4 linked regions of the Arabidopsis thaliana genome follow. The protein of the gene in region 4 binds, or shares a complex with, the protein of the main gene of each other region. Each region holds a gene or a part of one and is shown on either strand. Other genes may lie near its edges.

The links.
Region 1: MED8 (region 4) and MED31 share a complex: the UniProt entries of both Arabidopsis thaliana proteins name them as parts of the mediator complex.
Region 2: MED8 (region 4) and SWP share a complex: the UniProt entries of both Arabidopsis thaliana proteins name them as parts of the mediator complex.
Region 3: MED8 (region 4) and AT2G10440 share a complex: the UniProt entries of both Arabidopsis thaliana proteins name them as parts of the mediator complex.

What each region holds. Positions count from the first base shown.
Region 1 is NC_003076.8:6,730,167-6,735,247, reverse strand, and holds MED31 (SOH1 family protein), read left to right. Parts: upstream 1-2,257; 5' UTR 2,258-2,426; coding exon 2,427-2,476; intron 2,477-2,555; coding exon 2,556-2,653; intron 2,654-2,777; coding exon 2,778-2,874; intron 2,875-2,968; coding exon 2,969-3,047; intron 3,048-3,112; coding exon 3,113-3,202; intron 3,203-3,380; coding exon 3,381-3,634; intron 3,635-3,751; coding exon 3,752-3,764; 3' UTR 3,765-4,012; downstream 4,013-5,081. Other genes in the region: AT5G19920 (Transducin/WD40 repeat-like superfamily protein), read left to right, coding at 1-33, 407-572, 854-1,224, 1,308-1,626. UniProt on the Arabidopsis thaliana protein: Component of the Mediator complex, a coactivator involved in the regulated transcription of nearly all RNA polymerase II-dependent genes.
Region 2 is NC_003074.8:1,291,469-1,300,415, reverse strand, and holds the start of SWP (RNA polymerase II transcription mediator), read right to left. Parts: upstream 6,619-8,947; 5' UTR 6,380-6,618; coding exon 6,170-6,379; intron 5,613-6,169; coding exon 4,587-5,612; intron 4,172-4,586; coding exon 4,074-4,171; intron 3,998-4,073; coding exon 3,823-3,997; intron 3,745-3,822; coding exon 2,988-3,744; intron 2,904-2,987; coding exon 1,888-2,903; intron 1,783-1,887; coding exon 755-1,782; intron 663-754; coding exon 1-662. Other genes in the region: RALFL21 (RALF-like 21), read left to right, coding at 7,691-8,008. UniProt on the Arabidopsis thaliana protein: Component of the Mediator complex, a coactivator involved in the regulated transcription of nearly all RNA polymerase II-dependent genes.
Region 3 is NC_003071.7:4,012,697-4,020,557, forward strand, and holds AT2G10440 (mediator of RNA polymerase II transcription subunit), read right to left. Parts: upstream 5,351-7,861; coding exon 5,229-5,350; intron 4,892-5,228; coding exon of another isoform or gene 4,865-4,891; intron 4,730-4,864; coding exon 4,627-4,729; intron 4,541-4,626; coding exon of another isoform or gene 4,474-4,540; intron 4,377-4,473; coding exon of another isoform or gene 4,318-4,376; coding exon 4,205-4,317; intron 4,115-4,204; coding exon 3,990-4,114; intron 3,947-3,989; coding exon 3,554-3,946; intron 3,512-3,553; coding exon 3,417-3,511; intron 3,325-3,416; coding exon 3,250-3,324; intron 3,126-3,249; coding exon 2,154-3,125; intron 2,067-2,153; coding exon 1,752-2,066; intron 1,675-1,751; coding exon 1,510-1,674; intron 1,468-1,509; coding exon 1,349-1,467; intron 1,267-1,348; coding exon 1,056-1,266; downstream 1-1,055. Other genes in the region: AT2G10450 (14-3-3 family protein), read left to right, coding at 7,609-7,668, 7,810-7,861. UniProt on the Arabidopsis thaliana protein: Component of the Mediator complex, a coactivator involved in the regulated transcription of nearly all RNA polymerase II-dependent genes.
Region 4 is NC_003071.7:903,213-910,562, reverse strand, and holds MED8 (mediator subunit 8), read right to left. Parts: upstream 5,051-7,350; 5' UTR 4,739-5,050; intron 4,613-4,738; 5' UTR 4,586-4,612; coding exon 4,407-4,585; intron 4,317-4,406; coding exon 4,192-4,316; intron 4,098-4,191; coding exon 3,973-4,097; intron 3,905-3,972; coding exon 3,721-3,904; intron 3,616-3,720; coding exon 3,532-3,615; intron 3,411-3,531; coding exon 3,355-3,410; intron 3,265-3,354; coding exon 2,995-3,264; intron 2,907-2,994; coding exon 2,850-2,906; intron 2,533-2,849; coding exon 2,326-2,532; intron 2,239-2,325; coding exon 2,188-2,238; intron 2,091-2,187; coding exon 2,027-2,090; intron 1,944-2,026; coding exon 1,771-1,943; 3' UTR 1,291-1,770; downstream 1-1,290. Other genes in the region: AGL30 (AGAMOUS-like 30), read right to left, coding at 6,994-7,350. UniProt on the Arabidopsis thaliana protein: Component of the Mediator complex, a coactivator involved in the regulated transcription of nearly all RNA polymerase II-dependent genes.

The sequences.
Region 1 (5,081 bases), on a different chromosome or scaffold from region 4:
GGCTGTTCATTTCTGGAAGCTTCAGTCTGATAGGTAAGTCTCCTGTAAATATGCCTGATCTACTGATTATGATATTTCTTTCTGATTTCTTGGGGGTTTAAATGGTTTTAGGAGGGGTTATTGGATTATTCAACTTCAAATCCATATAGAATTCCTTGATTTTCATATGTATCAGAAATTTTAATTATGTATTTCTAGTTCCAGTTGACATCACCTTCATCCATCCACGTGATAAGTAGGCGAAATTTAGTTTCACTTATATTTGTCAACAAGCTGCAACGTTTAGTTGTACATGATCTTAAGAGATAGAGTTTTGTACAATTTTTTCTACTCTTATTTTCGTGAACATTTTAATCTGAATTTCGTTGGATACTAACCTATCCATCATGCTTTCACCATTGAGCAGGTCCACCGCTACTTTGTTTAAGACGGTTAATCGGGTAGCAGTAGATCAGAAGAAATGGGCAGAAGATATAGCTTGGCATCCACATAAGAATGCACTTTTCTCCGTGTATACTGCAGATGATGGTCACCCTCAGATATCAGCCATATATCTGAATGAAGCTGGAGAGGTAAAAGTATATGAATGCTGTAGCACATTCTAGCGTTTTACCATATTAAATTTGCGATTGGACATTCATGAGTGGAGTGTGTGCTTAAACTTGTAGAAAGTTAACTTGGTCTTCATAACCTGTTAGAAAGAAAAAAATCAATATAGCTGGAATAATTGGGAATTTGATTCGACCCTTGACTTATCTACTAGTTGTAAGATCTAACTTGATGGTTATAGTCTTTTATCCTTGGGGAAGTTAGTTATGTGCTCATTTCTTTTTGGATATCTGTTCATCTGCAGAGATGTGAGTCGCAATTTATGGAGGACAGGCCTCATAGCAAAGGTCTTATCAACAGAATCATGTTTACGCCTTGGGATGATCCTTGCTTCATCACAGGTGGGAGTGACCATGCAGTAGTGTTATGGCGGGATCAGTGTGAGAATAATGCGTGGAAGCCGACGCTTCTGCATAGGGACTTGCATTCGTCGGCTGTGATGGGAGTTACTGGAATGCGCCATAACAATCACGTCTTGTCATGTGGAGACGATAGGAGATTTGTTGGGTTTGATGCCCGAGAAGAAAAAGTCACATTTAAACATAGACTAGACAACAGATGCACAAATATAATGCCAAACCCGCGAGATGTTAATCTTGTCATGGTTAACACGAGGTAAAACTGACTCTTGATTTATATATATCCCAGAAGAAGCGATTGCCTTAAAGTCCGTTCTTTTGCTTGTGTTGTGTTTGCAGGCAGCTAGACCGGCAACTGCGGTTGTATGATGTTAGATTGCCTCAGACAGAACTATTTTCTTTTGGGTGGAAGCAAGAAAGCAGTGAATCGCAGTCGGCTCTAATTAATCAGTCTTGGTCTCCAGATGGTTTACACATCTCATCTGGTTCTGCAGACCCCGTGATCCACATCTTTGATATCCGATACAATGCACCGAGCCCGTCTCTCTCGATGAAAGCTCATAAGAAAAGAGTGTTCAAAGCCGAGTGGCACTCTTCTTATCCGCTGCTCGTCTCCATCTCATCAGATTTAGCAATTGGGATTCACAAGCTATGGTGAAAACTTGTAAAGCCATCACCTGAATTTGAAGGCCATTAACTTCTGAAACAGAACTTGTCTTGGCAAGTTGGCACAAGGTGTTGATTGGCAAGTAAGAACTGAGTACAGCACGCAGGCTGGATACGAAAACTGTCTTGGGAGTTGCATAGGTCAGTCCAGGGTCTGATGGCTCTTGTCTTTTGATTTTTTTTTTTAACTGTGGGAAACTCTAGCTTTTTAGCTGTCACATTTTGCGGGGATTACAACATTACAATGTACAGTATACATTTTTGAGGGCCAACTCATTGGAGCCAAATGTCCTCAGATTTTCTGTCTGCTATAATCCTCAACCATAGTTAGCATGACAAAGAGTTGCAACATCTATATCGATTGGTCACAAAAAAACTTTTGTATGATTGCATAAAGATTCCGGTCCATGTTTCAAAATTCAAGATTTGTCCTTGTGATTCATAATCTTGAGATAAGTAAGAAAGAGATTCATAACATGACTAAAAATGCCACCAAGTGAATCTTTGAATGTAAAGTAACTCCAAGTTTGGGCAGAGACTTCTCCATCTGCTACCGAGTATAACGGTTCTTTTAAGACCGCTTCTTGTGGAAAAAAAAAAAAAAAGACCGCTTCTTAAACCGTAATTTTGTACTAATTTTCCAATCTCTTTTTCTATTTGCATTCAGAACCGGTTTAGGCCTTTGGTTTATAACCAAAATTCAATTCAGAAATCAGAACCAAAATCCTCCGTCTACCTCCGTCTGATTCCTCTATTGGGAGAATCCAAATTTGCTTCAGGTTCCGTTCGTTCATGGCTTCGCCAGAGGAGATGGGTGATGATGCATCAGAAATTCCATCCCCGTGAGTGCATCTTCTTCCTCTTGTACACTTTCATATTCTTCAAATCTGCTCTTTTATTATCTAATTCGCATCTCTACAGGCCAAAAAACACTTACAAGGATCCCGACGGTGGAAGGCAACGATTCTTACTGGAACTTGAATTTATTCAATGTCTCGCCAATCCTACTTACATCCACTGTAAGTTTAGAATTCGTTCTATGGCTTAGGGTTTTAGTGTTCGAAATTGAGATTTAAAAAGGGATTTGTTCTAAGGCTTAGGGTTTGTACTTACCACATTCTGCTTTTGGTTACTGTTTGGCAGACCTGGCACAGAATCGGTATTTTGAAGATGAAGCATTTATTGGATACTTGAAGTATCTTCAATACTGGCAGCGACCAGAGTACATCAAGTTCATTATGTAAGTTGGAATATCTTATGGAATTGGTGTAGTCTTGTAGAGTCTTGTGAAGGTTTGGATAATATATCTTTGGTTTCCTATGTTCTTGTTACAGGTACCCACACTGCCTATATTTCCTTGAACTTCTTCAAAACCCCAACTTCAGGACTGCTATGGCTCATCCTGCAAACAAGGTACAAGAATACGATATGAATCATCAAGTGAAATCAGCATGTTAGTGAGCATTGTGAATAGGGAGTGGTTCAAAATGTTAGGGTACTGGTGTTTTTGGAATGTGTTTTGGGGACTTGTAGAGTTTAGGGTCTCTCTAGTACAAAACCTTGCTTACGTTCTGCTAGTTTGGTTCTGTGATTCTGCGTTTATGCCCATCTATTCATGAGATAGAGAAAGTTGTTTAATATTCTAAACTTTATGTCCTTTGTCAGAATTTCTTATAGGAAATCTATTGTTGTTGAAGTTTTCTTAAGTTTTGAACTTTGTCTTCGGTTGAATCTGGATTTTTCCAGGAATTGGCGCATAGACAACAGTTTTACTATTGGAAGAACTACAGAAACAACAGACTGAAGCACATTCTACCTCGGCCTCTTCCAGAGCCTGTACCTCCACAACCACCAGTTGCACCTTCAACTTCTTTGCCACCTGCACCATCTGCAACTGCTGCTCTCTCTCCAGCCCTTTCTCCAATGCAGTACAATAATATGCTTTCTAAGAATGACACTAGGAATATGGGTGCTACTGGAATTGATCGTAGGAAGAGAAAGTATGTGCTCCTTTCTTCTTCTTGATAATGATGACCATTTTGTGTGTGTTTTTAAGATGACTGCAAATGTGTTACGAAAAAAAGCAACACTCTAATATGTGAGTCATATAATGTCAGGAAGGGTATATAAGCATTTCCTGCCCTGAAGCATACACCATGGCGTCAGTCGTCAGATATGGTTTCCTCCATGTCCTAGGAGGGAAGCCTACTTGACTCAGGTTACAAAAATGTTGGAAACTCGGTATTACTCATTCCGTGTCATAGGCCGTTTATGGAAGTTGTCATATATGGTGTTCAATCTTTGTCTATGATATACAACAACCCCCAATCAGTATCAGTCTTTATCTTTGTTCCTATCGATCTTGACAATTGCAACACTTTATTTTTTTTGAGAAGCTTAGAAGCAATAGGAAAAATTATGGGAATGCCAAACATTTGTCCTTGGCAGAGATTGCTTCTGCCGGTAAAACATTAATTAGGAGTGGGGTTTCCATGTTGCACTTGTTGGTGGAAATTGTACGAAATGACTCTTTGACGTATCTTTGACAACAGTTAGAAGACCCAAACATGACAGAGTGTGCTATGGACCATGGTATACGAAACTTGATATGTGATGAAACTCGTATAACGTAACTCACGGTTCAAGAAAGGAGAAGAAAATAGCATAACTCAAGGATATGAATAAAAGAAGAACATGAACACTTATGGATTAGAAATGACTTTGATACCTTAAAATGTTGAGATTCTTCTCCATTGAATGATTAATTATAGGGAGGTTTGTTAATATAGTCCAAATTTTGGGGCTAATGTGTGATTGCAATCAAAACCAAATTTTGGAAATAGTCCACTTTTCTCTAAAATTATAATTAAAATACCATCATCAAGAGAAAAAAAGAGGCAAAAAACATAGTTACCTAAAGTAGAACGTCCAAATATGAATTTTGATATTAAAGTTAAATTAACTTTAGCAGAAAAAGGTTGAATAATATTTTGCCAAATTATCAAGTGATTAGGTTTATGATTTAAAATATTTCTAACTAATAATAATAATAATATCAAAGAAAACCGTAACCGACTCTACCCTTTAAATATAAACATAATCTCAGCCGTCGGTTTAAACGTGTCGCATCTCCATCGTTGATTAGGACTTGGCATCTTTTCGTCGCCTCTATTTAAAGAATCTCATCATCTCTTCTGCCGTTCGTACACAGAGGTTCTCTTTGCCTTTAATTTATTTTTCTTCTGCCCAAACCAAAAAAAAAAAGTTTCCAGATCCAAAATTACAACAAAGATTCTCAAACTCCTAAAACTTCATCTTAAAAACTTAACAAACAAAATTCTAATTACGAAAAATCCCAATCCTAGTGTTTCTCTTGTTGGCTTTTTTGTTTGATCTGTCTGTAATTTTTTTTTTGTTTGATCTGTGGTTTGTTTTGTAAAAATTCCA
Region 2 (8,947 bases), on a different chromosome or scaffold from region 4:
AACCGTTGACTTCCACTGTACGGCTCACTCTCTGTTTACATTTCTCCCAATCGTCCACTCGCTGCCAACAAGCTCGACCTCCATGACTTCCTTCCATTCCAAGAAACGTCACGCTAGGATTTTCGCCAAATGTGTATCTTAACCTAACTGATACACAGTAAGGCAACCATGCTGCTCCTCCAGCCGCGTTTATATGGGGTATGTGCACAGGATCAAGAACAACGGTTAGCGCAAAGTCAACCGTGTTGTGCGGCCGGTCGTAATGGATATTGCTTTTAGCTGCACAATTGTTGTCTAAATCTGTACCAGAATGGTTCTCTAGACATAGCTCGATTCGAGGTCTCTGTGCAGGAGCAATCTCTCCAGCTTGTTGTGATTGGGATAATCCTTTTTTCCAAGCTATCAGTTTCAGAAACTCTCTCAAGACCGATATGGGTAACGTGAGGAGTGTTATGAAAGAGGCAACTCTTGAGGCATCATACGGTTCTGATGCGACACGGCGGCTGAAATAATCGCAGATTTCTCCAATCTCGGATTGGGTTAACTCCTCTTGAGCCGCAGCAGAAGAACCATTTTGTTGTGCTTGGTGATGGAATCGCCTTACGCTAAGGACTTGAAGAAGGAGCTGAACTCTATGGACACTCACCGCAAACACATAGCCACTGCAAAAACAAAAACAACAAAAAAACAAAACAATAGATAAGCTTAAGCATAATCCTTCAAGATTGAGCATAAGTTTCTTGGTTTGGCTTACCCGACAAAGAAGCGTAAGGCTGGTTGTTCTTGGTCTAAATTCAAGAGAGCGCCTTCGTTATCCTTCAAGATGGAACCCAAGATCTCTCTTAAGAGATCTGGTAACTGAGCAAATAGCCACAGTACTCCAAGATATTTAAGGATACCACGCAAAACCTTTTTAAGAGCCACAAGAGGAACCCATCCTCCGCCATAGCCACCGTCATCACCTAAACCGATTATCGCTGTGTTTAATTCACCTCTTACATGCGCTGGTACAGCAGTGCCTGGTGTTCTACGCACAGGCAATCCTGAGCTAACCACTAAAGATCCTGAAGCAACACTGGCTACTCGATTCATTGCAGCTCTTGCACTAGAAGGGGAAAAGTTAACTCTGTTCACACCGTTAACAGTTGGGTTTCCACTGTTGGGATTTGTTGCTCCTTGGCTACCTGTCAAATTTGGTTCTAAACCGTTCAATTCTTGAGCAACATGCTCCATGATGAAAGGTCTGAATTGGGGACATGGCAAGGAGCCTCCAATAGAAGCACCACCCTTGGGTGGAGTTGCTGGCTGCAACCAGACTTGATCTCCAGCAAAACATCTCATGTCTACTGCAAAACGTTTACGGTATATGATCCTTATCCAATAGGGTCCACGGAGTACTACAGAGACATCGATGGGCAAGAGAGAGCTTGGAACGATGCCAGGTCCGCTTCTCCCTGCAGCTGCTAGCATTGCAACTCCATGGAAACCTCCACCAAGTGGGCTTGGAGCAGAAGAAGCAACAGTATTTCCTGAAGTTGCTGAGGCAGACTGGCCAGTAGCATTAGGAGCTGCTAAAGTTGAAGGGGCAATGATTCCTTGAGTTTGTTGTATCTGATTTGATTGTCTTGAAGACGCTGTAGCAGGTACAACAGGCATGCCAGTGGCAGTACTAGCTCGGGCAGGGCGAGTAGCGGCAGCTAATGCATGCAAAGGCCCAGCAGTAAGGCGAATGCAATCCAAAAGGGATTCTACCTCTGCTCCGTTTATGAAATCCTCCAAGAACTGTACAAGAGTAACTCACGATGAGAAAAAGCATATATTTGGAACTCTTATAATAAAAATATTTCCCATGAAGAGAGCAAATGTTAAGTCCTGCGAACTACTCACCTTTGTATGTGGCCATAGTTGGTCAGGAGAGACATGCATGGTGCATCCATCTTTACCTGATTCCCACTCGACAACAAAACGCGCCAAAACGCCTGAACCAAAGCTAAACCACAGGCTTGTTAATCCCACAGCCTCAATCTTGAAAGCTCTCCACCTATCTACTGGCTCACCACTGCCTTTTCCTCCAGTAGATCCTTTCATAGTGGAATTAGCACTGCACTCTTCTGTTTTTTCATCTGGCTTTATGCCAAGTAGTTTCCGCATACCAAGGGAGAACATTCTAGCATTTGAAAGCCTTTGTATGTCGGCCACAAGCTTCTTTATACTATCGGCTTCCACAGACTGATAGCTCAGAACAACACCTTCAGGGTCATAACGGATATGAGAATCAACATCAGATGAATTCGCAATGTGAACTCCAGAACCCCATGGTGTGGTTTTACTTCCCTTTTGAAGTTCCCAGAGATCCCTAAAGTGTTGGTCATTTATTTTCACATCCCAACACATGCTTCCAGGTCTACCAAGCTGCAAGCATATATGTTGCCAGGAATCATTTTGAGCAAATGGAAGCCTGAACCATATATCTGAAAATGCATCTCTTAGTCCCATTTCCTCAACATATTGAATATCCAATGCCTCCATCTGACTAGTTAGTTTGGCATGCTTTATGGACAACGAAGAATGCCTGACCACATGGAGAAGAGCATAAACAAAAACGCTTGAAGGTGCATTCCCCTTGTTTGCTTCAGCTATGAGATTCCCATAGCTGCATCCTATAGTTTTTGTTGATGTTGACACGGCAGTGGATAAGGTCTGTGATGCAGGGCTCCAACTCTTCACTAATTCACTCTGTACCAGTTCAGAGGTTTTTCTTCTCTTATTGGGACTAGCAACACCTTCCACTACCTGGAGGGATGGGATCAATCTTAGCAAATCTGAAGCTGAACGTTTCCGGGGCTTCTGATCTTTCCTTAACAAAGGACCAGCAGATGATGTTGCAAGATCAGCTGTTTGAGCTGCAAATAACGGAAATTTTTGAATTCTAATATTGAGAAAGTTCTATGAAGGTAAAAAAAAAGGCTATGGAAAAATGTTCTTACATAGGGGAAGAGGTGACAATGAGGATTCAGTGACCAGTCTAGAGCCTGACTCAGAGACTCCATTCCCAGTAGAGAGGGATGGAGACAGTATCAGGGATAACTCCTGGTCAGAGTTAGAGATGGCTATCTTCTTCATAGCTGAACCCTTCCCAGGGGGAGATGATAACATATTATAAGAGCTAGATTGTAAGGGACCCTGTCGATTATACAAGGAATCTGAATGATAGCTAGTCAACATTGGAGCTTTTCCATGGCCGGTAACAGCAGAGAGATTTTTGGGAACTAAACCATGTCCATCAATTGACATAAGAGCAGATGTCACTTTCTGAAGTCCAAACACTCCATCTACGACACTAGAGAAACTCAACTGGCTTCCACTCATTTCTGTCAAAGCCTCGTCAACCAATCCAGGCTGACGGTGTCCAGATGCTTGATTTATGCCCTCAGCATCCGAGAATGAAGATACAAATTTAACCACATCGGATGTAATCAAGTTAAGATCATCTTCGAGAATCCGTATCTGCCCTATATCAATTTTCTTAGCTCGCAAAATATTGCTTGGATCATTGAAAGACTGAGGTTTTCCCGAACCATCCATCTGAGTTTCCAGTAATTTAAACAATGGTGTGAAGTCCTTTTCGAGCTCCATTAGCAAAAGGTGAGAGCTTTCACAGTCAGGGAATCCCAAAGTCAGAATGCTTGACCCATCCAAGAGGCTTTTAGGAACTTTGTTTATACCAAAACCATGTTCATAGACCTGCATTAAACGCAAACGTCAACACTCCCAACTCCAGAGAGTGAATTTGAACAACAAGCTGAGGCAAACAATTACTACCTCAAGACCCAAAAATTTGCCAATAGCAGCAAAAAAATGCAAAATACTTTTGCTTCTCAAGTTGATAAAGGCATCAACTGCAGATATACTTCCTTGGTTTAACGCATCTTCAAATTCCTCCAAGATGGAGGAGGTCAAGATACTCTTGGATGACTGTAGAAGAAACCGACCAGTCCTGCAATCAATAACATATAGTGAGAATAGTCAGCTAAAATAAGATCTCTCCCAATACATAGATGAAGATATCATACCTTATATTTATCCCCAGTGTGAAAAATGAAGATCCATAGGCTCGCACTCGTAAGACCTCTGGCTCTACTCGCTCTTTAGAGTCTACCATGTTATCTCCCTAAAAGAATGGCGAAAGAGAAAATGATCCAATTAAATTCAATTAGTTGTTGAGACAGCAAGAGAAATATGGCCTAACTATACTAGCTCCCCAGCCAAAAGAAGCTAGGCAATAGGCCATGTGAACTGCAAAAATTAAACTACTTTTTCGAAAAAATATAAATTATCGAAACCTAGGTTCGGCCATCTCTGAAATTTAAATTTGCGATTATTAATGCTTAATCTCATGGTCTATAGCATGAAAGCTATGCATTATTTAGCAAGGGCTATGTGTCATAAACAGAAATCTATCTATTGACATGCAAGTGACATACTAAATGTCCAACTAGTGTAAGTAGCTCTGACCTGGGAAAAAGTCCTACAACTTTCAAGGAACAAAATATTCAACATTAAGCCGAAAACAACTCTTTCTTTACCTCAATACCAGGCTCATCCAGGAGGGCTTGAAGGATCACATCACTTGGAGTTCGACAAATACGAGTATTCCTCAAAAGCTCTTTCTGAATTTCAAGAAGACGGGTATATCTATTACAGCATATAGCTTTAAGCAGAAGCTTCTCCACGTCAATGCAGCTCTGGTCGAGAGAAAACTCAGCTTCCTTGCCAGTAAGTGGGTCAATTACAAATGTGCTGTGAGAACATTTAATCTGGAGATCTGACCCTGGTTCAATTTTAATAAATGGGCCAGAATTTTTATCAGAATCTGACCAGTAAAAAAGTTTCATTCCTGGCGTTCGAAGACTAACAGAATCTGCCTCTCCTTCTTGGTTCGCTGGTGTGGTACCAGTATCTGAAATTAAGTCGAAGCGAATTGCATCTTTCCATCTCCCCTGCAGAAGAGCTCGGACCTGTCTTATGACTGTGTCCATGACAATGGCAACGCACAGCTCATGGAGCACCGCATATAAAATTGTGAATGGATTTTCTGCCACGGACATTCGACGCTCTAAATCATCTCCAAGGATATGCCGTCTTGTCACTTCAAGTTTAATGGGGCCACTTCTTTCACCAACAAGTAGATCCAAATGCAATATCCGCCACATGGATAGGTGCCCTCGGTAACCAAGAGTAACAAGAACTTTAAATTCCCCATCGACAGATAAGGTAACTGTACCTTTAGAAATTTTCACCTCTGTTATTTCTTTTGGAAGTGTGATTTCAAGCAGTTTGGAACGTACAAGTACCTCCAGCTTTCTTAGAGCTGGTTTCTGTTGATGCTCATCCAAAGAGCTCTGCATGCCCACATCATCTAGACACTTTGGCAGGCGCTGATAAGAACCTGTCAGCAAAATCTCAACAGCAGAGGGAACGTCATAGACAGGAGCGCGAGCTTGCTGTAGACCTTCATGCATAAAAAACAGCGAATCCGCAGCTTGTGTGAAGCATATGTCATGAGCTGATAATGTACTCCCAAGGTCTTGAAAGTAGTTTATAAGAGGAACCTGCAGCCCAGGAGGTTTAGCCAAAAATGAATAAATAGCTCAATAAATTTTCGAATACTTACTCTGTAAAGAAAGTGAACACAAGCAAGCATCAACAATCTATGAAATCATAATTTTTTAAAATGGAACGTTGATCTGAAGTAAACTACCTTGAATTTTTACAGAGACACTACAGTCATAAATTTCTTAAAATATGCAGAAATAACAGAAGTACATGATAACATTGATAAGCCTACTTGGAATGTGAAGTTCCATGGAATTTAAGAGACAAATCTAAACTTTAGTAGACAAGCAACGTAATCCAAACAACAAAAACCCATCAAGGACAAGATCACACAAAAGGATCTTCCAATTCCATTCAAAGTCTGTAAATCATCCTACAAACATCAAAACTATATCCACGGGAAATGTGTTTAAAACTAATAGATCATGCAATCAACAAAACCAAACCCTAATCTTGCAACATATCCAATTCCAGTCCAAGAAAGCTTCAAACTTTCACTTCGACCCACAGACCCAAAACGTTAATACTTAGCGAGAAACAGAGAAAGACAAACCTGTTTACACCACTTGGCGAGGGCATTGAGGCGGAGCATCCGTTGCTGAGTCTTAGCGACATACTTAAGGAGGCTAACCTTCTTCTCAGTATCAGAAAGCTCCGTCGACTTAGACTTATCCACAAGTTCCTTAAAAGAAAGGAACGATTCCTCTGCGGCTCGACCAACAAGAGCAGAGAAATCCACCGTCTGTTGCCCTAATTCCGCCATCGCGGAGAAAGAAACAAAATCGCCACCACCCGATTCAGAAACTTAGGAGATCTCACGATTCGTAAAAAATTAGGGTTCTTATCCTCCGCTTCCCCCACCACGACGACAAAAGCACAAAGCTTCCCTTTTCCAGCAACCGGATTTGATTCGGACAAGAGAGACAGAGAAAAAGGGTTTAAAATTGAAAGGGGTCAGGGAAGAGTCGAACGCAAAACGTTGAACGGAAGATGAAAAAAAAAAAAAAAAAAACGATTTTTGGAGAAATCGGCTGAAGAAGCCTTTTTTTTTAACAGACGGCAAAATCTAATTTTTGTGTGGGGTCTCTCTTTTATCCACGTAAGCAAGTAAGTCACTATTAAATTATTAATTAGACATTTTAACCATCATTAAAAAGGTTAATTACAAAATTATCATTAATGTACACTACACTCTTAAGTAGAAGATGTGTGATGTATTAATGTATATATGGTGAATAGTGTGTATAACAATTGGACGGTGAAAACGTTGTTCCGAGTTCCGACAATAAACGGTGAATAGTAATACTGTAATAGTGTATAACAATTTTTCATAAGGAACCACAAGAAACACTTATTTGAGATTTTGGTACGAGGTTTATTTTTCTATGAAGCAATAGTAATACTGTAATAGTGTAACGCATGTAGGAGTAGCAAGGCCTTCTCACTTGTCCAACTAATTTATGTTGGGCGGCAAATAAAGAACCAGCATGAATTTTTATATATACTTTGAACCCAATACCAAAAAGCCCAGCGATGTGTTCATTCTAATAGTTGTCTACAACCAATTTTGACACACTATTTTGGTGTATTTATAATTATTATTAGTTTATGATATTTGCATATTATTGATGTAAAAAAATTTCTGTAAGAAAAAAGTGCTTTGTTTTCACCTCCATGTACTGGAAGAACATGAAACCTAATATATTGATATACTATATTAGAGTACATAGAACTCTTTGACCAAAAAAAAAAGAGTACATAGAACTCAAATATTGTTGACTACTTTGGCTATAAAACTGTTTTGTATTAGTATTACTATGACCACAACATGCATATCTAAAAGCTAGTTTGACTACTTTGGCTAAAAAAGGACTATATCTATAATACATGTATTACTAAAGAATTCTGTAGGTACATTTTCTACCGGTCAATTCAACATCCTATTGTAATTTCCTTTTAAGTAAAAGTTGTATAAGACTCTTTCACAATTATTTATTCACTATAAATACCACGAACTGTACCATTCTTACCAACAAATATATATTTCTCCCACACACATAAATAAACACAAATCATGAGCAATATGAAAATAACAAATAGGTTTATGCTAGTGGCAACATTCATAGCATGTGTGTTCATAAGCAGCATGAACATGACGGTTGGAAAAGTAATTGGGTATCCAGGGTTGAAGCCTGATCTTCCTTGTGATCATCATCGGTATCCTTCTGCATGTGCACCCTCCGAACAACCAGTGAATCCTTACAGACGGGGATGTAGTAAAATACATAGATGTAGACGCGATTCACCCCCTGCACCAATTTCTAGAAAAATGTTAATACGAGGTCAATTAATTTATAATAATGCATATAATGCATATATCCAATATCCATGAATAATAAATTTATGGGTTTGGTTGTGTTTAAGCCATGTTGTTCTCTACATCTACACATTTACCTTAATATTTTTCAGCATGTATTATTGTATTACGATATATACAGTGGTGAAATCTTGTTTTATCATTCAGTTTTGTTCGATTTAAGCTCCTTCTTATTAATGGTAAAATAAAACAAATCAGATCACATATATTCATAGCATTTAAGGACCTAGTGTGTCACACGTGTGAACCTGTAATGTTTGTTATACACAACAAGACAATGATTTTTGACTGGGCCCAGCCCACACGAGGGTCCTAACATCTCTCAACAGGGTTGGTGTTTTTGGGCCCAGGTGGACCCTTTTATCTCATTCTCCTCCTCCTCCTCACGTTTATATGAAATTTTTCACCTATATAAATTTAATCAATTTTATTTATATAAAATTCTTGACATGTAGATTATAAGATTAAGATGAAGTCGTTGTCAATTTGGACCTTCAATTTTTTATGTCAGATTCTTCCATCGTAATCATGCATGGGGGCATGAACATGATGATGTTTAGCAATAAATGATGTTGATGATCATTATGCTGTTATAATTTTATTATATATAATTTGCATGGAGCCATTTATTTATCAACGCTATTATTATTATGCTCCTTTGTGAAAAAATACTACATTACCATATTTTAGGGTCGACGAAATGGGCATGACATGTACCGCCGCCCATACCACATATGGTTGACCATTTACTGTTGAGTTAGTCGTGTTTGGCCCTCCCCACCGAAGATTATATAACCCAATACACATAAGAATTAGTTAGCATTTGCACCTGCATAGAAAAAAATTAGCACTAGATTAAATTATTCCCAGCATTATACTATATTATAATCATTGATCGGAAGGAATGTTTCCTAATTACATAATTGGTAATCATGTTTAACGCACAATTACTTG
Region 3 (7,861 bases), 3.1 Mb from region 4:
GAGGCTATAGCTTTTTATTTTGCTTTATAAATCTCTTATCATGTCATGTAAATCAATAGGATACTTTCGAGAGCTTTTTTTTTTTTTCTTTTTTTTTTCTCTTACCCTTCTCGTTTCTTTAGAAACGATCATGCTCTAATCCAAATCGGATATTAATTTCAGTTTTTTTTTTTTTCTGTTTAATTAGGTTTATAAATTTTGCTTCGACGATATCAATAATTTTGATTTCGGACAAGACTTTTGATACCACTTTTATCAAGTTCTCTCTTGCCTTGCGAGTTTAGATCTCCATCTATTGGTGATTGTTGATGTCTTTGGTTTCTTCACAAATCCTCTATGTTCCCACCAATTAGTTCGACGAGTAATATCTATACCACTTCTTTATGCACACACATGAACAAAGATCCGGCCACATCAATATGGGTGTCGTCAGAGGTGGAGCTTCCCCGACGATAATGATACTTGAAGAATTTTTAAGCGACTTCCATCACTTGATCCGAAAGAATATCGACGATTTTTGGACATGGGTTCGAGATCGACAGAAGGAAAGACGATTCTCAACATTTTGGTGAATTCTAGCGGTTTCCCGCGAATTCAACAGCGGTGCTTGACGTCTCGGCCCGTGTCATAGGGCAAAACACTTCATCAACACGTTTCATCAGCAAAATCTTTATGAGTGGATGTTTAAATTACTAAGGATGATTTAGTTTTATAGGCTTGGCTTCATTTTCTGTAATCCTTTTTTAAAACTTATATTCCAACCTTTTGGGCTCTATAAATGAAACATGTAATAAGAAAAAACAATAAAATACTTTAAAATCTTTTTTAAAAAAAAGGCTTTGTGCCTAAATATTTCAAGATAATTTATTATACTATCGGTTTTGAAACAATTATAATTTCTTGTTAAAATATATACAATAAGAAGACATGAGCCACACCATACAAATAAATGTTACTTCTATCTCAAAGGAAATAAAAAAAAACCTAACTTGGGCTATAAGGCTTCCCACCTAAAAACTATCTTGTACGGTGAGTGAGAAAGGAAGTATTAGTCCTCATGAAGCTCTTAGAACCGTTTCCCAAGCACCATACTTGGAGCTGAAAGTGCCTCCACCATGTCTCTCTGCGTACTCAACCATTGTCGCTCTCGCACAATCATTCCACGTTTGAGCTATTCCTTTCGAAAACCCTGGTTCTGAAAATTCCTTCATGGACAAACTGAACCTTGATCTGGTTCTCGCGGATAGATCCTCATACTTGTGTACACTGAAACATGCAGATATAAATCCTTAAGATCATATATATTTACTCCAATCGTTGTTACTTGATTTCTAAGAAAGATTCATACCTAGTGTCAAAGGAGATTTCCTCGAGAACTATCGGAGAACTATACGGATAATCCATAGGAAATAGTAAGCGTAAAGGTTGAATCTGTGCCTGCATCAAACATTTAGAGACATAAAAAATCTGAGCAGAGTGAGGAAAAAGAAGAAGTTTGAAGTAACTTACAATTTTTCCAGACTTGTAATGATCTTTGAATGTGGCACTGAGAGCCACAGGAGCATAAGTACAAGTGACGATTGTTCCTAAAGAATCTTCATCACATATCTCTACCACTGTCTCTACAAGTCTCCCATTTGTTTCTTTGATTTCTTGCAAAAGGGCATAACCAGGCTACAAGATTGAAAAAATGGATTTATTTCGATGTTTCATTTGTTTTCGTAGTTCGATACCAATAGAGTAGATTTTACCGCAATATTGTTAACTTTCAAGCCAGATGATGTTGTGGAAACAACTTCAGATTCAAGGCTACTCAACTGTTCATAACTATCAATTTGTGATGACATATCTGGCGGCACAATGTTGATTGATCGCTTCATTCTCTTAGACAGATTTGTTTCTTCGTGTGTGGTAAAGTTTCTTGTCCTCTCACTCAAATCCTCGCCTAAACCAGCTCTAGATCCTCCACTAGAAGGGAACGATCCTCCAATCATGTCAACCATACTAATCACCGAGCTAATCTCACTTACAGATTCTGCCAATGATTTTGGTGATGCTGCTTGAAACTAGAAAGCCACACACATTAAAAATTAGGTCAGTAAATAGGAGAAGGTAAAGAAAGTAAACTTAGATAAGCTATAGAGTTTACTTACCGCTTTTATAAGTCGATCAATAGGCCGCTCTGTGATTGGCTCGGGCGGAGGAACAAATAACAGAGGAGTTTCTTGTGTGCCAAGTTTACTAGAAGAATCTAAAGTTGAGTTTATTTCATCAACACCAGAAACTGGAGACTCAACAGATATAGGCATTTCAGAATCTCCAGGAACTGGAGATGGAGCTGGAGCAACAAAAGCCGAACCACTAGAGTTCAATGGGGTTCCGGTTTTGTTAATCGTCGCAGGAAGAATATGCTGGTCAACTAACTGAGGAGAAGAGTGGTTCTGTATCTGAGAGGATGAAACGTTAGACTCTTGCTTTGGAACCTGGCGCTGACTCGATGAGACTTGTTGCTCAAGCAACCTGGCTTTAATGTTGACCCTCTCCCTCATCCTCACATCATTCATCTCATTTGTCTGCATTTGATGTTGATGATTCCCTTGTTGTGGTTGTTGTTGTTGCATTTGTCGGTGATGGAATCGCTTCTGCTTCTGCAACGACTGAACCGAACTGATATTTGTGTTTACGGCCCGAGGATTTTGTTTAACAGAAGGTAACATGACATTTCCTGAGGAAGCCATAATGATGTTCTCGTCTCTTGGATCCAACTTAGGCCTTATTTGCAACAAAGACGAGGCCTCATTTTGGCTACTTGGCATCAACCGTGATCTCCTTTGCTCCTTATAAAGAGACTGTGACACATGGACTTGAGGACTTTGGGTTTGCATTGCTGTTTGAGAAGGAGGAAATTGTCCTTGTTGTTGCTGCGTTGGCCTCAAAACCATGGTCTGACTCTTGGTAAATTTCAATATGTGGTACTCATATTGACTAAACTTGTCTCTATGTTTCTCTGATACACTGCTCCTATGAACATTTAAGAAAAACATAAGGTGTTCCATTGACAATTTTCCCGCCTTTAGCTTTTCAATCCACTGAGCTTGCATCGGTTGCGGCGGAAGAGATTCAGTCTGGAAACATTAGGTTTATTAAACCAAAAACAACACAAAGTTTTAGAAAAAAAAATGATTAAGAAAACCATTAGAACAAATTCTTGTTCCACAAGCAAAACAATTAGGTTATAAAATAAAGTACCTCCCGCAATTTTTCCGCAACTCTTTGGTGCATTAAACTGAGAACAGGTAAACACATCTCTTTCAGTTTTTTTATCTGCAGGACATATCAGAATGGGAATCAATTGAAAACAAAATCAAACCCTAATTGTGATGTTAAGAAGTGAAGAGCAAAGCAAGTGAAGATACCTTCTGATAGGTCTCCTCCTGCCAGTTTCCGGCATTGACATTTACCGTCTTTCCCGTAGAATCTTGAGATGCTACAATGATATTCATTATTAGAACTAAAAACATTATCACAAGAGTTAGTAAGAGAGGAAACATACTAGATGGATTTGCTCTCTCTAATTGTTGTGGCTGGTTCTGTTGATCTGTTATGTTTTGTGTTTGGCGCAACGAACTTGCTGCTTGAAATTGATTGGTATTGTTTTGTACAAAATCCAAATGTTTCTGTAAGTTTCTGTTCTGAGGATCCTGCTGCATGGGGTATTGTTGTCGGTATTGTTGTGACATCATTGGTTGAGATTGTCCTACTTGTTGACCTCTAGTCATACTTTGGAGGTTATTCTTCTGTTGAGACATTGCATGTAAGGTAACATTATTGTTCTGCTGAGACGAGGATACCTGAAAAGCTCCTTGTTGGTCTCTATTGTTTGGTCGTGATGTTGGAAGATTCGTCAGTTGATTAATGAGTTGCTCTTGTTCTTGTCGTTTCTGTTCTTGAGACGGCAGAACCATCTGTTGTTGATGACTAAAACTGACCCGTTGTATCGAAAACTGATTTCTGGTCAGTGATTGAGTGTTTTGTTAGCTTGATTGAGGAAAAGGCTGTTGAATAGGTTGTTTCAACAAACTTTGCGGATGATGTTGCGGCTGCGGTGACCGAGCTTGTTGTTGCATGTGCGAAGGTCGTAAATTACCATGGCGGATTTGATTCATTTGAGGCTGTTGCTGCTGAGGAAGAAGTTGTTGCCTACCATGTATCTGTCTTTGAGAACCGGGAACGGTTATAGGGACCTGACTTGGCAAAGCAGATGACACAGAGATTGCTCTGTGTGTTTTGCTGTAACCATTGTTGGCTCGTTGTAGTCTGCATATATGGCAACAAGGCGGGAAGAGATTGAGCTTGATTCACAACTACTTGAGAAGCTGATGTTTAGATAAACACATAGAAAAAAAAAGTTAGTTAGTGATTTCTTTGTTATTAAGCTAAAATAGTATAATTATGAAACCAAAAACTTATTACCTAGAACTCTAGTGTAAGTTCTCTGTATATAATGCAGTGTTTCACTGAGTTTCCTAAGGTAATCATTCTGAAACATAGCAAGGGGACAATGAGTAAGATATCAAATTCAGATTCTGAAGTTAATAGATGGAGAAACAATTTGTAGTTTAACACCTTATCGGTTGCTATGCTATAAAAATTTTCTTCAAATTTGGAAGCGATGTCGTTAATCTTATATTCTTCATGTGCATGAAACTTTTCCTTGAACTTTTCAACTCTACACATACATGAGAACAAAATATCAGTGACTATGAAGAATTTGGTTATAACTGATATTCAAGAGGAAGTGATACCATTTTAATTGCACTAAAAATACAAAACAGAGAAAATAATCCGTAGTTAATATTCGAACTTACGATAATCGTTTAGCGAACAAACACTGAAACAATTATACATATGTGCCAAGCAATTGTACATAGAAGCGAGAGTAAAACAAGATTCTCCTAGTGAGGAAGAGCCTAAATGCAGGTAATGAGGTTAAAAGAATATGCAAAACTTAAAGTACAAAAGGTTGAAGTTAGGTTTTGTCAACTATGATAAACATTTATGCACAACTCTTATGCTTTAACTGTTGCAATCTTTATCATGCGCAAACTACAAATATCACATCGAAAGCATGACCAAGAAAACCTTACTCTCTTTCATGAATGTTAATAATCAAATAAGAACAATGAGTCCAACAAAAGAAACATGAAACTCTTGAAAGAATGGCTTACATTTTTGAAAGAACCTTTTGCCGTAATTCAGGCTCATGTTGTGATCTCCAATCAATACGATTATTCGCAGCATCACGGTTTCCGCCTTGTTCATTAGGCTTCCAGTTAGTATTTCCCTCCATTAAGTTATGCGTCCTAACGGGGAGATGTATGTATAGGCTTTGACCAAGAACCGCCTCGCTAAACCTTAACAAACAAACAAAAGAATGATTAGAGAAATTACTCAACATGGTAACACAAAACAGATAAATATATAGTACAAGAAAACGACAAAAGAGTATTCAAAAATCAATATGCATATCACGCTAACAACCTATCGCATAATATCACACAACACGTATTATAATATTTGTTGGTGCAGGAATTAGCACCTCCGACAATACTAATTTAAACCGAGGAATAATGTGAATAAAATCGAGAATTCGATTGAACCGGGGTATCCCGGTTAGCCTGTTAATGGGCCTAAGTCATGAGATCGCCCGAAGACTTAAGTCGACAATCAAGATCGCCATAACCAACTTCTTAGGTCGTGTAAAGGGAAAACTTCCATTTAAGAGAAGAGGATCTCATGAAGAATAGAAGTAATGAAGATTTAAACCTAAGATAATTAGAAGTTTATCATATTTTGGTATATTCGACCTATTGTATAAATAGAGGGGTCAAACCCCCCATTGAGATCATCTTTAACCTAATACAAGAGACTACTATTACAGAGCAAACCCTAGCTTTTTGTTTAAGCAACCTAGTTCTTTTCCTTTGATTATTTGTGAGCTAAGAGAGGAGTGAATTTGTCTAAATCCCTTAGTACAAATTCATTGTTTGATTACTGAATCAACAATATTTAATATATAATCCTAACATTTTAACAATCAGCACCCAATGTCTAATCTTATACAAATGAAATTCAGAAATACAAAAGTAAAGGTGATACTATGTTTCCACAGATCCTACCCTCACCTTGGCAACTCGGTTGGATTTTAAGAAATAGGACTAGCAACAATGGATCCGGCTCAACAACGATCTCAAACTACAACAATTTAGATTAATCAATCAAGATTATATTCCCTTAATAATTTGTTATTTAATCTAATAACTAAACCAAGTCTAATAATTTAATATTAGTTGCTTAACACGTAATTGACTACGCCACATCCATTTACGTGACCAAATACTCCCCGGTTTAATAATTAAACCAACGCCACAATTCAAATCACGTACATGTCAATGCTACTTCTGGTTTGACAATTAACCCAACGCTTTCTAATAAGCCAATAACTGACTATATCGTCTTCTTCACTAACACAACCCAACTGACGCCATAACCGATCAACTCAAAAGGTTCCTTAATAATCAAGTTTCAATTCATGGCCGTAACTATACGTAATCCCTTGGTTTAGGTTGGTTCAATAATTAAACAACACAACACCTTAACATGAATACGAGAATAAGGTTTCACCGTTATCTCACTCTGCAACGAAGAAGTAGAGGATTCGGTATCACAGACCCAAACAAAGCACCAATGATAGATCTAGATTCCGGTGAAGAAGGAGGACGAAGAAGGCTAATAGTGGCTCAGATGGTGATGATTAGGGTTGGATGTTACGTGACGATAACTTCACGTCACCACTTAACACGATCGGGACCACAACCACAAACTACAACGATGGTGAACTCGATAGTGGAGGATGATGGTGACTTGAGAGTTGAGATCAAATTTCTATGATTTTGATAAGGTTAACATTGCGTGCTCGTAACATAAGCGGCGAGAGGAAGAAGACATTATATACATACGTACACACTTCTCACGTTTAGGTCTTGTTTTTAATGAAGATGGGCTTAATGAGAAATTGGGTCTTAGCTTTACCTCCTTTCGCCGTCTCCAGTCACGCCGAGACAGCTCCCTTTCATGCTTCTTCCGCCAGAATCCATCGCCGGATACATCTCGAAGATTGAATCAGAGTATTAAGGTAATTCACGACTATGAATCTTCTGGATTAGCGTCAGTGTATTGTTTATATCGATGTTTGCGACTATTTTTGGTTTAAGTTACTGGATTGGTGGTTTTTGAAGAAGCATCAATGTTTATAGGTTTCAGTTGTTTCAAGAACCATTGGATTCATTACTAGTAGTCTATGGTTTCATGATCAAGTAATTGTTGAAACATCGTAAATATCAAGTTTGTAGTAATTGTTCGAACTATCTATGTGAATTGTAGTTTTTTCTGTGTAGTTTACCTTGAGATTATCCACTGCTCTATACCTTGAAATTGAAATAGGCTTCACACTGAAGTTATAAGGACTTGGGGTACAAGAGTCGTTGGTTTGACTCTCCTTGTGATTGGTGCTATGAGAATCAAAGAAGCTTCTGAGATCCCATAACCATGTGTTGTTACTTTGCCACTAGGATTGTTTACGGCCTGCAACCGGAGGCTCTGATGATGGTACATATTTTGTCACCTGAAGACGTTACTAGTAATTATGTTCTTTGTGCTGCTTTTATTCATTAATTGCTTAAACTAAATGTTGTCGTTGCAAGATCTTTGTTCTTGTATGTTGGACAATGCCAATGTGCTATCGCTGAGTTGGATGCATTGGGTGATGAATTATACAAGGACAGTACCCTGATTATGAAGA
Region 4 (7,350 bases):
ACAAAGATTTAGATATATGGAATCTTATAAAAAGAAAAATTATCTTGCAACATTTTTAGTAAAAATAATAATAACACAATCAAATATATGGAAATCAAATATTTAATATGGAAAAGTCAATATCTAAAAGTGATAAGATATGTATAACGTTTTAATCAAAGGAGTTAAATAAGGGATATCATATCAATCATAAATGGATTTTAGACAATATAATATTTATAAAATGATATTGAATATAGATGCAACTATTCAAAACTGGAATGCTAAAACATTAATACATGTTTGCATCACCTACCACCGGGTTATGAATAGTTACAAAATTAGTTATATAATTATAAAATTGGTAATTTATATATTCATTATTGTAATAATAAATCACAAAAATTAACAATTAATAAGCATGATTATCTTCTTTAACGATTTTCTTTGTAGAATCATTGAATCATGCGATAGTAATTATAGAAACAAATGATAAGCATGATTCTCTTCTTTATTGAATCATTGAAAACATGCTTTTACCGATCTATACTATAATCATCGATCGGCTCATATTGTTTTGTTTCAATAATAGAAAATAAATACTATGAACCATGAGTCGATAAGTAAACATGGTTCTTAAAAAAATGTAAGAATCTCTATATCTACCTTTTAGAGCGTCCTGATAACGTGTTATAAACAGAGAAAGAGATAGAAGAAAATGAGTGTGTTATTCCATTGAGGTAAAGGGTTCTTTATATAGGATTACAAGGAAAGGGTAAAACCTTAGAAACATCTAGATGATGAGTTTAGATGATGGGCGTTATAATGAGCATCCATCTTTATTCATAACAAGTTGAGGTTTGTTTTGGGTTTTTTCCCTATAATAAAGCATTTATTTCATATAATATATAGTAAAATATTTATTTTATATAAAATTAATTTAAAGAAAATTATGCATTGAATATTTATATTAAAGAAAATAATATATCAAATCAAAGCCTTTGAGATGATGAGTTCAATTATATCTTTAAAACTTTTGAATACAAATATATGTTATAGTGAAAACGTTTATAACATATGCAAAATCGCACAAATAAATTATATTGTGTATTATTTTAAATTTTATAAATTTATTTTGCATTTTTTGAATGTGCACAATAAATTGTAAAAATAAGCGATTTTGAGTGATTTTTTCGCAAATTCCTAAAAACCAAAGTAAACTAGTTTTTCATATTTGTAACAAAAGCAAACAAAAAATTTAAAAGAAATGGTAACTAAATTTCAAAATTTGATTGAGGTAACTAAACGAGTCGTTGAGCTAAATAAGTACATAAAAAATGAGTATATAAAATTAAGTTGACAAGAAACAAAACAAATTGTCAGAAAATTTAATAGCTTTCGAGTCGCAGTTTTAAAGCTCTCTGTTTAAAGTTCAGAAAACAGGTAAACTTCATAGACACGTCGCTCTCTCGAGTCCCGTGTACAACAGAAACGCGTCTTCGTTTTGTCTCTATAACCCCATCAACGGCGTCGAGATGTTCACGTCGATGCCACGTGTCGAATTCTCAATAAACATGTCAGAACGAAAACAATCCTCCACCGTCCAATCTCTGCTTCACGTTTTTAACCTCATACAATGATACAAGTAAACAAAGTGTACTAGTGTAGTGTGAAAGTACCATACAACTAGAGAAATCTGGTGAGTGTATTAATGTTAAAGAATGGGCCAGGCCTTTGGTACTACAAAATACAGGCATCGGCCCATTACAAGCCCAAATTATTTAAAAGGGGTTATTGAGGATTTTGGTGCCTTTGTTGAGCATTCTGCATCATGTTATTAGGCTGTAGACTCTGCTGATTCGTCTGCATATTTCCATAGCCTCCTTGTTGTTGCTGCTGCTGCTGCTGTTGCGATTGCTGAATTTGTGTTTGCTGTGTTTGCATCATTCCGCTGGTGTTAAACACTGTAAAGATAGGACAAATGAAATAGTCAGGGAATCGATTTTGATGTAAGAAAACATGTTTTAGAAGAGATTTGTTTACTTACTCTGGTCACCCAACATTTGAGACGAATGGCTTCTTTGGGGATTGGTACCCGAAACTCCAAATTGCTGACAACCATAAAAATCCAAAGAGATCATCAGATTAAGACAATGTTCATCGTTCAGATTTGGGAAACATAATGAGTAGAGGAGTTTTTGAGCTAACCTGCATCCTAGGAACAAGTGTCTGAGATTGCATAGATGACATGTTTGGTATCTAGAATTAAAAGAAAAAGTACGTAGAAAATATGATTAGTAATTGTTTCGAATCATCAATTCAAGAGGTTAAAGAGAGGTGACTGACCATTTGGCTACTTGGGGAGCCTTGTGCAGAAGTAAACAATGCACTATTGGCTCCACCTGAAAACTGGTTTAAGTGACGGTTCATCGCTGGATTGAGCTGTCCTTGAGACATGCTATGCTGAATATGTCCACCTGAGAGCTGTCTAGCTTGGAATTGTTGGTGCGCGCCCATTGGCTGGGAATATGGCATTTGATGTTGCCCATGTGACTGAAAAATAAGATAAAACTCACACTTAAAAGACAAAAGCTTGTTTCATAATTTCATTTGATTCTACTGTTTGAAACTACGAACTGTCACAGTTACTTTTATATAAAAGCTTCTGCCAAGTCCCAAGATCTAGGATAACTTTTCAAGAGTATGAATCATTCACTTGGTATATGTAAACTTGTATAAATACGTCTAGTCATCTTCATTTATGGCCATAACTACTGCATAATGATACAAATAATTGACCAAGGTAGTGTCTGATCCTTTTCACTTCACACATCTATCCCCTAACTATGTTGTAGTTCTATTTATCTTACCGTCTGAAACTTTTGCTGAGCTTGCCCATGCATATCATGAAGTGCTGGTATCTGACTCTACACAAAGAATTAGCATGTTGCTCAATAAAGCAGTATGGTAGGAAAAAACAGTCAATTGCTACGTCTGCAAAATGTCAAAGCCTACTTGACCCAATCCCTGCATAGAAGATTGCCTGAGCTGTTGTTGTTGTTGTGCAAGTAGTTGCTGCTGCTGATGTTGAGGCAACTGCATTAATTTTGACCTTTGCTGCTGCTGTTGAAACTGTTGTTGCTGGATTTGATGCTGAGGCGAAGGCACATTAACCATACCCGTAGCGCGAGGAGAATTGGAATATGGTAAGGGAGATGTTGTGTTATCAAAATTAGGACCAGATGGAGATGCAGCTGATCTTCCCACAAATTGAGTCCCGGAAACCTAAAAACACACAAAGACATGAACCTCGAAAGACAATGATACTAACAAAAGTAATAATCATCACAACTAGAGAGAATAAACTAGTTTAACCTGCATCATTCCTTGATTGTTAATGTTGTTTGATTGCCCAGGTAATGCAATCTTACCTAATGAAAGAGAATTTTTGGAGCCATTAACAACGTGAGAATACCATTGGTAGTAGTAACAAAATAAAGAAGATTCAAGCATTGGGTTTACTTCTACCAGACAGATCAATGAAATCGTTACCTGCATCATTGATAATTAGCACATCTGCCAGATGTGGTGGAAGTGCAGTGGTTATCTGTCTCTGGTCTGGAGGCAGTTGTGTTCCTAGAAACAACCATTGTAAAAGAACATGAGAAGGAATTCAGCAAAACAGAAAACTGCAGTTTCGTACACTATCAAATGACTCAATAAATTCTAAAACCCTCTTACCTTTACCGTCATTTACAGCATCTCGTAGCATTTTCTCCTGCTCCTGAATCTTTGCAGCTTGACCTTTATCCATAGTAGGAAGCATAGACGGGCCTTGACGAGTGCCAAATCCGTAAGCTTTACGAGTATCAGCTAATACTCTTTCTGCATTTTCACAAGCTGCTGCAATCATATCCATCCTCGCCTGTAATAACAGATACCATTTCAAAAACCAGCAAACAAATCACAACAAAAATACATTACAAAACTAACCTTAAGCCTTTCGATTTGCATTGGTATAGGCAAACTCTGAACACCTTGAAGCAACTGCTCTCTCTTGGCATTGTCATCAGTTTCCATCTCCGGTAGTAATTTCGAAGACAACATAACCGGTAAAACTGCAGATTCACTGATAAATGCTAAGCTAAACCAGTTCATCACATTCACAATTCATTTAACTCATCAACTAAAACAACTAAAAAAAGACCATACTTGCAGCGTTCATAGCATTGACGTTCTTAGGAAGCACAACAAACGCATTTGAAACTCTCTTTACTTCTTCCACAATGTTAAAAAGCTCGAGATTTACCATCGAATACTGCCCTAGAATATCCTGCCTGTTCAAAACAAAAAGAAAATCAATCCTTGTTACAAAAAATTCATAAACATCAAAATATTATCAAATTCTGGATTCGATGATGATGAACCATTTAGGAGTAGTGTTGGTTCGACCATAAGCGTCGAAATCTTCAAGGATTCGAGCAATGGCTTTGGCCAAGCTAACGGCTCGTGTCTTCAACGACTCCAGATTCAGTTCCTTCTCCAGTTTTGGATTCAGCTTCTCAGCTACCGGAGGAGGAGGTGGTTGCTGCGGCTGTGTCTCCATTGATAACACAGAGCTAATACACAAACCCTAATTCCAAATTTAACGTAATTAGGGGTTTTTAACATCACAGCGAATTGAACAAATTAATTAGGTTTCCGATTTGAAATTGACACAAAAGTTTCGATTAGAAACACACACAAAAGAGAAACTTACGAATTAGAAAACGAGGAATGCGCAAAATCTCGAAGAAGGCTTTGATTTGGAGAAGTTAGTTATTGGAGAAGACGAGAGAGTGTGTTTGAGAAATAGAACCGGGAAATATAATAACATACCGAATCCATAACATATATATGTGTTTCCTCTTTGAAAACTTACAAGGTTGCAACAAATAGACAGAGCGGATAAATCCGTTTGCAGACTAGACCAATATGTCGCTAAGACGGACAAATCTGTTTGCGGAGTAGACCATTATATTTCTAAGACGGACAATAATCCGTTACGGACCAAGTTTTGTTTTTTTGCTTTCAAATAAACTATTTGTTGGTCCGTAATAGAGTTTTGCGTGATTTGTAGATATAACACTTTTTTACTAAATAATTAACCAACTAACACCATAAATTTGTAAATGTAGTAAATAACCTTCAAGGAGAGTAAAAAGACATCACTGTCCTGGTGTTACGCTTCGTCAGCGAAGAAGGAGAATGATTAGTGTGAGCTGACGTGACTTTATTATTGGTGTTGAGGTGAGAAGAGAAATAGGTGGTAGGAGAGAAATTCTCTTTTCTCTTTCTTTTTTCTTTACTCCTTTTCAATTGTAACTCATATTATCTGATCTTAAAAAATTTAATTCAAGTTCATGATATATCTATTAAAAAGTTGTATAGTTTTCTACAAATATCATGACTTAAATTTTTGAAAATAGACACAAAATAATTTAGATGTGAATAGTGTTGTCAATGAATAACATAACGTTCTATATAAATTGACAATATTTTTTGATGGAAGTATACTAAACCCTAAAGGGATAATATATAGGGAACCCAAGGGTTTAAATCTAAAACATTAATGAAATCACTTAACATCTTTAATCAAAACAAACAATTCATTTTAAAACGTATATAGAACAAGGTATACGTAAATAGTATACTATTTACAAAATAGAATAGTATCTCTCAAAATGCAACAACGGAACTCAATTTCATCACCAATACACCAAGCGCAACAACGGAACCCTATTTCATCATCAAGTGCAACAACGAAAGTCAATTCCCTGAACCTAACTTGTGTTCCTCGCTCTGTAATTCGAAACCCCCAAATCAAATATCACCCTAAAGTAATTAAGAGACTCTAATTTGAAATAAAAAACAAGTAACGAGGTAGGTGTAGGAACTTTATTGGGAGGAGAAAGAGAGAGGGGGAGAAAAAAAGAAAGAGAGAGAAAGAGAGAGAGAGAAAAAGATAGAGGGGAGAGAGAAGGGAAGAGAGAGGTAGACGGAAAGAGATAGAGGGGGTAAACTTGGAATTAATATATAAAATATAGAGGATATCATTGCTTTTTTTTTTATGCTAGTTTCTTAATTATATTTTTTTTTGGTTAGTTTTCCAATTCCCCTAGAGTTTTTATATTTTTTCCTATTTACTAAACTGCGGACCAAAATTATGAATAGTGAATAAAAAACGGTCTTTGTACGCAAGTTAGTCCGTCCCATTGTAAACCCACTCAAGGAAATGGTTCTTACAAAGTAAAACTATTTAAGAAGATATTAGTAACTTGTGTGAAAGATACTGTTGGCTTTGTTGATGGTTCTTGGTGATTCAAAATCCTAGAAGAATCATCCAATGTAGTCTCTCTAACCCATAAACATAAGCTTCCTTAGTTCATCCTACATAACTTGTAAACTTTTGTATAAATCACTTAATAAACAAGAGTACTTTGAAGACAAAAACAAAAACAAAAATGTAGTAAACATTGTTTTGTTTGTTTGTTTTACATTGAAAGAATGAAAAAGAATAGATACAGAGGCTAGAGTTTGTGGGAAGGGAAGGAAGAGAGAGTTTCTCATCTTTTGGCTGTCATGGCGTTACTTTGACAGCCCTCCAAAGACACTACTAACTTTTATCGCCGGAGAAATATGGAAAACCTCAAAAAATCTCATCTGACTGAGAAATTATGTATAGAAAAGAATTAAGTGACATCTATTGAAGATATAGAAAAAATAAATGAACACGTATTGTGTGTGGTTTGGTTGCACAATCTACCAGGGATTACCACTGGTTTTTTTCTTCTTGGAACCAATTCAGAAATCGGCAGAGTTTTAGCTTTCTTGCTGTTTCTGAAAAAAAATATTGGTTTGAGTTTCTTCAGTGAGATGTTTTATCATCATTCATCAAATCTCTCTCAGTTCGGCTGCTGCATCTATAAGAAAGAAGAACAAATTGTCAAATCAGTCTACAAAACAAAAACCCATTTAGAATCTCTGAGAAAGTTTTGTTTTGGTTACCTGGGAAAACAAGTATTCGTCGAACATTGAGATTGAGCAAGGCAAGGAGCTGCTGCTAGAACCAAACCTGGTTTGGTTGGTGTTGTCGTTGTAAGCAGAAGAATCAGGTGGTGGTGCTTCAAAGAATCCATTCATATGATACTCTCTCTGATTCATTGGAATATACACCTGAGCATGCGGAAGAGTAAGAGGAAGAGGAGGAGGAGGCAACGTTTGGTGATGATTCATATCATTGTGAAGATTGGGATTGTATGCTGTGATATTATTATTATTAGTGAACTGCTGCTGCGAGCTTGTGTCCTGTTTCAGCTGTCCGGTGTTTAG